2 linked regions of the Daphnia pulex genome follow. The protein of the gene in region 1 interacts with the protein of each later gene in a pairwise test. Links are inferred from orthologs where the notes say so. Each region holds a gene or a part of one and is shown on either strand. Other genes may lie near its edges.

Region 1 (3,571 bases):
CTTACTATTGCTCGATGTTGCGACAGCACATCCCGTTTCATCCGAAAAAAGTCCTGCTCCACAATTGACGTGTCCATCACATTTCAAATTGGATGGGATGCATTTTTCTTGCATCTTGGTTGACTTGTCAACACTGGGTATACATGGCCAGTAAGCAGTGTCATTTGTTTTGCAAGCTGTTTTTTAAAGTCAATATTTATTACTGGCATCATAGAATATAAATGAGGTGTTTATATTACTCTGTCTGTAAGAAGTTACAACTACTTTAAGTCGTAGGGGTTGAAGATTTTGATCCACTTTCCTGCTGGTTTTTCTAAACCATATGTGCAACTCTCCACCAGGGTCATAAAATGTTGTTGCTTCTGGTCCTTCAGGAATAAGTGATTCCACATAATTGTGGAGAACTTCTTCATCATTGGATTCTGATGGACGTTCACTGGTATAATCATAGATGGGAACCAGTTTTCTTTCTCCACACAACTTTTTGCTGAGGTAGCCATCATCATCTCTGCCAAACTACAATTAAGGGTGTCATGAAAAAAAATCCAAAACAATTTATTTAAAGTTTATAGGACTTACCCAGACATAGTCATCACACTCATTATCCAAAGGATTTCTCCTAAGATTAATGTCTTCAACAACAACTTGCAAACCCTGATTTTTTGGTGCTTCTATTTCTAGATGGCAGTCAATCGCTAACTCAGTAACATGAGGGTACTTTGAAAGTTGTATCAAGAGTGCAGTACTCCTTGAATTCATTTTAATAGTCCTTTTGGCCGAGGAACAGACATTTGCATCTTCTAAATAATCTAAAACGGAAAACAATAAGGGCCATTATTATTGTGACATCAGTGAGTCAAACCTAAGGGCTAAGGGCGTTGTCGAAATTGGTTATAATGAAACGCACCATTATATTTAAGGAGATAATGTTAACGTTTGAAAAAAAAAACAGTGGACTTACATATTTGGTAGCCATAAGTTTCTAAAACAGTAACACTATAAATACACAATAAAAACAATCTCGTTGCGAACTCCATTTTTTGACAACTTATCGACTGTCTGCACACATAGATAACTGTAGGTTGCCTGTGATGGCTGTCACTTGCATTGCGCGCCATCTTTTGTTATAGTACCAAAGCACAAAATTGGACCTATTGAAATATATAAGTGAAAATCACATGAAAGTAGTATTCTAGTGTTCTCTGTTCCATATAATATCACGATTATTTTTATTCAAATGGTTGCATGTGAATTGATGTCCAAAATTGTATTTAGTACGAAAATCACTCCAAGCTTTTGAACTTTGCCGCATGAGAACCATTTACTTCATTTGGCGGTGCTTGATCTATAATTATCTGGAACATTACACATCAAAAAAGAAAAAGCGATCGACGATTTCCGAATTTAAAAATAAAGTCTTATAATTATTTTATAGTAAAATCTAATCCACTGTGGTTGAAGGGGAAACAAAAATTTATTAATGAGTTCGAACTTATGAGATAATTTTTTTGTTTTTACATTTTTTAATAGATTTGTTAACGTTGTTCGGCGAGCTGCTTGACTCGGCAAATTTTTTGACGCAAAATTTTCTGCTCTTTAACTGAAGTGAGAAACTTGATTGAAAGCTCACCAGTACTTATCAAATAGACTAATAATGGGTTCAGCACGTTACGATCGCGCCATTACAGTATTTTCACCAGATGGGCATCTCTTTCAGGTCGAATATGCTCAAGAAGCTGTCAAGAAAGGATCCACTGCTGTAAGTAAATTTCTACGATAGTGGCAGTCGACACCGACTAATGATTACTTTCGTGTATATTTTAACTTTGTTTAGGTTGGTGTAAGAGGCAAGAATTTAGTAATCTTGGGAGTCGAGAAAAAGTCTGTTGCCAAGCTACAAGAAGAAAGGACTGTCCGAAAAATATGCCTCCTTGATGATCATGTGGTGATGGCATTTGCAGGGCTGACAGCAGATGCCCGAATTTTGATCAACAGAGCCAGAATAGAATGTCAGTCCCATAAACTGACAGTGGAAGATCCAGTAACCTTGGAGTACATAACAAGATACATAGCAGGTATTATTTTTTCACTGATAATTAAACTGCTAAGTTTTGTGGACAAATGTCTTGTTTTTTTAAGGATTATTTATTACCCTTCATTTACGCAAATGTTTTTTGTTTGTTTTTCATGTGCGATTTATTATTTATTCTAATAGGCTTGAAACAGAGATATACACAGAGTAATGGAAGACGCCCATTTGGGATCTCTTGTTTGCTTGCTGGATTTGATTTTGATGGCACTCCTCATTTATATCAAACTGACCCTTCTGGAACATACCACGAATGGAAGGTGAGCTAAAGACTTTTCAATTGATTTGCATTTCAGCAATTAATAACGTGGAATTTCAGGCCAATGCCACAGGCCGTAACGCGAAAACAGTTCGTGAGTTTCTAGAAAAGAACTATAACGTCGAGGAGATGGAAGATGAAGAAAAAGTTATCAAACTAGCAATCCGTGCTCTTCTGGAAGTGGTACAATCAGGAAGTAAGAATCTGGAATTGGCGATTATGAGACGTGGCCAACCAATGAAGATGCTGGAAGTTGACGAGATAGAAAAGCATGTCGCCGCTGTTGAGAAAGAGAAGGAGGAAGAAGCAGAAAAGAAAAAGCAGAAGAAGTAACTATTTGAAAACTCAGCAAATTTGTGATGCTGCGTCACGTACCAACAAATAAACAATGGCCTAAACACAAAGTGTTATCCTACAACGTCGTCCAATTCGTTTCGTAAAATTTACGCGTCTAATTGTTGAGCTATTCATTATTTGTGTATTCAGAGATGGTCTAGTAGTGAAAGCGAAAAAAGAATCCGATAAAGATGCCGGTGATTTTAAAACACTTATTGAAGAATCATTTAACGAACGTTGGAGTCTTGGAGATGGCGTTAACGAAAATCAGCATCCGAAATGATGGATCAACGAGTGTCAATGAATATTCATGGGATTAGCTTGTTTCGTTTTAATTAAATGTTTATTTAAATCTACGACAGAATCACATCGATTAGAGACACAGTTTGGATCGTTTGGGATAAAAATTCATTGAAAATGTTAAATGAGAAAAGACTTTATTTATTGTAACAGGTCACCCTAGTTGAGTAGAATGGGAGGAAGAGTTTAGAAGTGAGATAATGTGTATTGATTTTGATTCACGGGTAGTGTTGTACCGTATATTGATGAAGAGCATACGCAGTAGACGCCCAGGTTATGTAGACAAACAAAAAGGAGTATTGTATTTGTACAGTTGAGATTTGAAAAGAATGTCTTCTTGGTGAGTTACTACAGTTGTGATATACATATTGACGTTAAGCGATGTGTACACACACCTTGATGCGGATTTAATCAAGTTCCAATTTTCTTTACTATTCCTATTAAAAGAACAGTGTTTTTCTCCTAAAAACAGTAAGGGTCAAAAGATCTGCCGATGATCACCGTCGTGTATTTAATTAGAAACAGGAGCAATACAATTGGGCAGCAGCAGCAGCTGTGATCGAACGCTGTAATCTTATTTCTCTCTT
Region 2 (4,257 bases), on another chromosome or scaffold:
GCTCATGGGATCTTATCATTGTTAATGATTCTGATGCACAATCATTGTGGTCAGTTATAGAAGACTCTTCAGGTTTGGTGTTGAAATTTGTTTCTTTAGAAAGATAATTTCTTACTTTTTTCAAAACTTTTTTATGAGAGGGATTCATTTGAAAGTCTTTTGCATTGCATCGAATTGTATACTGTGGACAGCATGTATCTTTCATCATTGGTTTATAACAATAATGTCCTGAAGGGTAGATATATTTTAGTTGGAAAATTTAAATGTTTTAAACTTTTAAAATCTTAGTACCACTCCTTCTCCAACCACGGTTAATTAGATTTTCATAATCTTGAATATTCATTGTATGAGCCCACATGCCTTTGCAAAGTCATTGAAATTTAAGTTAGTTAAATTTAAGCTTACAATTATACTTAATATTCTTTACCGTGGCTGAGGTTTGAATTGGAGCCTTTGCAATAACCACACTTGTGTCCCTTGTCATTTCCAAAATATTCAACTATAGAAAAGTTCTCCTTGTCATTCATTTTGTTTACCCCAGTACAGCTCAATTTTCATGTATCAGAAATCTAAATTAAAATAATTTAATTTAATTGGATTTTTTCTTTCCGATTTTTTGTTGTTGTTGTTATACTATGTAACCTAGGAGGTCAATGACAAATATGGCGTACTAGTTTAAAGGGCCGCGCTACTTGCTATACCTCCAGTCAGCTCCATTCACTCGTCACTCCTGTCAGCTCCTGTGTTGGAAAAGTGAAACCAAATTTGCTCACATTTTCTTCAAGTAAAGCCATCTAGTTGTCGAAACAATTAACATAAAAAAATTCGTATTTTTCTCATGGTTTATGATTATTGATGAACCAGAACAAATTACTATTTTTGGGGAGTAGGGAGATGGAAGGCTAATCTAATCAGCTAACCAGAGCTATAGAATAATAGTATTCTATAGCATTCTATACTAGTATTCACTATTCAATACTATATTCTATAGCTCTGGTTAAACCTCCTTTTTTGGCCTATGTTAAGTAGACTTTTTTCATTCTTTCTCATTTCCAATCTCTTGAAAAAAAATGAATTGATTGAAAAATAAAATCAATAAGATCAAGTTTTCGAATTCCAAATTTCCTACTACTGCCGCCAATGGCTCTGCTGCCGCGACGATAATTAGGCCAGACTGCTGACTGCCGGAGTGATGTGGCTTCGTGGAGTTACTGTAGTCTTGAGAACGGGCAACGGGGCCTAATAAATAGAGGAAGGGAAGTGAAATCGTCTTTACTCTTTAGAAAACATTCGGCTTCCGTTAAAAATAAAAAATAACAGCAGTTATTCCTTTTAAATATTGCTGCGCTGTGTCGCCTGTGTGGGCTGTGGACAATTTCCTTGTGTTTTAAATTTAATAAGTTTCCATTATCTACGTGCCATGGAAACTAAAGCCGATCAGATTCTGTCGATCAAAGGTATTTCGTATTCAATATTTAAAATCTAACTTCTCGTCAAACATTTTGTAAACGATTCTGCAATCATTTAATTTTAAGTGATGAGGTTGTCACGTCCAGTTTTTACACAACCTGGGCTTTTCCATCCAGAACCTTGGGATTTGGTCAGCACAATTCTATCCCAAGAAGAAAATAATGTTTTAATAGAAGATGCTGATCAAACTCTGGATAAGACCTTTTCTCCTAAATTTGGATTACTTCTACCTCAAAGCTTTGGGTTTAAAAATGAATCTTAATTGTTTAGAACTAAATTATACTAAATTTGTTTGTTTTCCAGTACTATATACTTAGGTGAAACTTTTCAAAGTTACCTTCGTGTTCAGAATGTGGGCTCTTGCTTGGTTTCAAATATATCCATCAAGGTTTGCAAAGTTTGGTAATTTCATAAACAGTTTTTAGTAAAGATACTTGTAATTTGCAGGCAGATCTCCAGACAGCTGCACAAAGGCTTCCATTAACAAAACGTAATAAAGTGTCAATTAACCAGCTTGAACCTCAGCAATCAACTGATGATATCCTAAGTCATGAAATAACAGAAATTGGAACACACATGTATGTTATCAATATTTATCTTTTTTCATCTTAGTTTTTTTTGTTCTTGATTTGAATTAATTTGCAGTTTAGTTTGTGAAGTATCCTATCAAATTGGTGCAGGTGAACAGATGACATCTTCTCGCTACTACAAATTTCAAGTAAAGATATTTAAATATGTGATATCTACTAAGACTCACATAAAATCTTCCAAAACAGGTTCTTAAACCTCTAGATGTAAAAACTAAGTTCTACAATGCAGAGGTAAGTTCTACTTCCTATACTTGTACTTAGACTACATACTACTGATCAACTTTTCATATTTAATAATTGTAAAAATTACGAGTTTTAACACATAAAACAAAACTATGCGCATAGGGGATTCCATATGAAAGCGACAAAAATCTGTGACGACCATCTCACAGTATATTTGACCGCCACTATATGCTTATTCAATTCGTATTTTTGGAAAAATTAATAATTACCCCGATTAACATATAAAACATATTTGTGGGTCAAGGTGGTTTCAAACTTTTAATCGAATGCGCGGTTCCTTTTTTTTTTTTTGTTGGTTTTTTCCTCGAAATCTTTCCAGTAGAATTCATCAATACGAATTGAATAAGCTTCCGTAATTCATGAGATGGCGCCATAAGTTTTGAAGGTTTCCATTTGGAATCCCTACACTGTAAAGAAAAAACAACCTATATAGAAATATAACTATATATATATTTATCAGTAATTTCCACAATACCGGTTGTGATTTACCCTGCTCAAACTTAATTCATGGACTGGATAAGCGATTTTCTTGATCTTTAATTTGTTTTCCTTTTTTCAACTCAAACAACTCTTCATTCCTTGCATGCGTCCTTTTTTCTACCAAATGATAAATTAACTGCTGCATGTCCATTTTTTTACTTCACTTTGGACGGCTATCGGGATTCACCTTTCACAGGACTATTACGTAAGACTTGTGTTGTTTGTGTCATAGGAGAAATTATAAAGAATTTCTTAATACTTCGTCTTGGTTATCAACTGCTTTTAACCATCTTGTAGTAAAATATCTCAATCGTTTTTAAGGGAGTGGAATCCGAAATTAGAGCTAGTTGTGACATTAACTTGACATTTTTATCAATATAAATTTGTATGGCCTTATGAATATAGCTCAACCACTTATTTCAGCTTCAATTAAATTTAGTCCGACGATGTGTACTTAGAAGCCCAAATTCAAAACACGACTGTCGACCGACCACTTTGCTTAGATAAAGTCACAATGGAACCTTCTACTCTGTTTGAAGGTCTGCAGCCACCATTGAGCTTCTTCATTTAACCGTTTAAGCAATTTTAATTGTTCTCTGAATTAGTTTCATCGCTTAATGAAATATCAACGACCACTGGCACTCCTTGGTCCAATATGCCACAGCTCTTCGGAAAATGTGTAAATGTGGTTCAACCGGGTGAAATCCGCCAATACCTTCACTGTCTAAAGGTAAGAACGTTAAGAAATAGTAATCTTAAATTTCTCCGTTAAATTGGTTATTAATGGCAAATTCATTCTTATTGATCACAGCCAAAGCAGAATGTACGTGATAACCACAGAATGTTGAGAGGAGAGAGCAATATTGGGAAACTTGACTTAATTTGGAGAACTGCTATAGGAGACCGTGGACGATTGCAAACCAGTCAGCTACAACGAATGGTAAAAAAAAAAAAAAAAAAAAAAAAAAAAAAAAAAATGCTGTTTTTAGTTTGAGTAGTTTTGCTAAGTTGGAATGAGAGTTTTGCTTGATTGGAAAGCTTTTTAGTAAATTCGTCAGTCTAAATCTTAAACCGTAAAAATGGTCCCCTTTATTCTTATACAGGTCCCCAATTACGGTGATGTACGCCTGACAATCCAAGAGCTACCTAATCCAGTAAAACTCCATCGGCCAATTAACTTTGTCTGCAAAATAACGAACACCAGGTAAATGGAGCTCTTTGATACATGAGGGAAACTTATCAACTAAATAAATTGGTTCATTTTACAATTCTTTATCATGAACTATACGTTTATTCATAATTTTTAGTGAAAGGCCGGTCGAACTAAGTTTGGTGTTGGAAATCCGTTCAAAACCTACAGTACTTTGGACTGGTGTATCTAATCGGCCACTGAAGAAAATTGATCCTAATCATTCCACGGAAGTTTCCCTGAAACTTGTACCAGTGATGCCAGGCTTGCAGAGTATCTCTGGAT

The links.
Region 2: the proteins of proteasome subunit alpha type-7-like (region 1) and trafficking protein particle complex subunit 13-like interact in a two-hybrid assay, tested with the Caenorhabditis elegans proteins (3 studies listed by BioGRID). The link is inferred for Daphnia pulex from reciprocal best matches to the Caenorhabditis elegans genes pas-4 and C56C10.7.

What each region holds. Positions count from the first base shown.
Region 1 is NC_060020.1:7,377,477-7,381,047, reverse strand, and holds proteasome subunit alpha type-7-like, read left to right. Parts: upstream 1-1,358; 5' UTR 1,359-1,654; coding exon 1,655-1,759; intron 1,760-1,834; coding exon 1,835-2,075; intron 2,076-2,215; coding exon 2,216-2,349; intron 2,350-2,408; coding exon 2,409-2,681; 3' UTR 2,682-2,752; downstream 2,753-3,571. Other genes in the region: uncharacterized protein LOC124192310, read right to left, coding at 6-176, 240-516, 580-809, 962-1,037. UniProt on the Caenorhabditis elegans protein: The proteasome is a multicatalytic proteinase complex which is characterized by its ability to cleave peptides with Arg, Phe, Tyr, Leu, and Glu adjacent to the leaving group at neutral or slightly basic pH.
Region 2 is NC_060019.1:5,174,033-5,178,289, forward strand, and holds the start of trafficking protein particle complex subunit 13-like, read left to right. Parts: upstream 1-1,184; 5' UTR 1,185-1,420; coding exon 1,421-1,457; intron 1,458-1,535; coding exon 1,536-1,713; intron 1,714-1,773; coding exon 1,774-1,858; intron 1,859-1,917; coding exon 1,918-2,048; intron 2,049-2,115; coding exon 2,116-2,188; intron 2,189-2,246; coding exon 2,247-2,291; intron 2,292-2,979; coding exon 2,980-2,988; intron 2,989-3,222; coding exon 3,223-3,322; intron 3,323-3,388; coding exon 3,389-3,513; intron 3,514-3,594; coding exon 3,595-3,723; intron 3,724-3,886; coding exon 3,887-3,987; intron 3,988-4,090; coding exon 4,091-4,257. Other genes in the region: arginyl-tRNA--protein transferase 1-like, read right to left, coding at 1-228, 292-360, 428-527.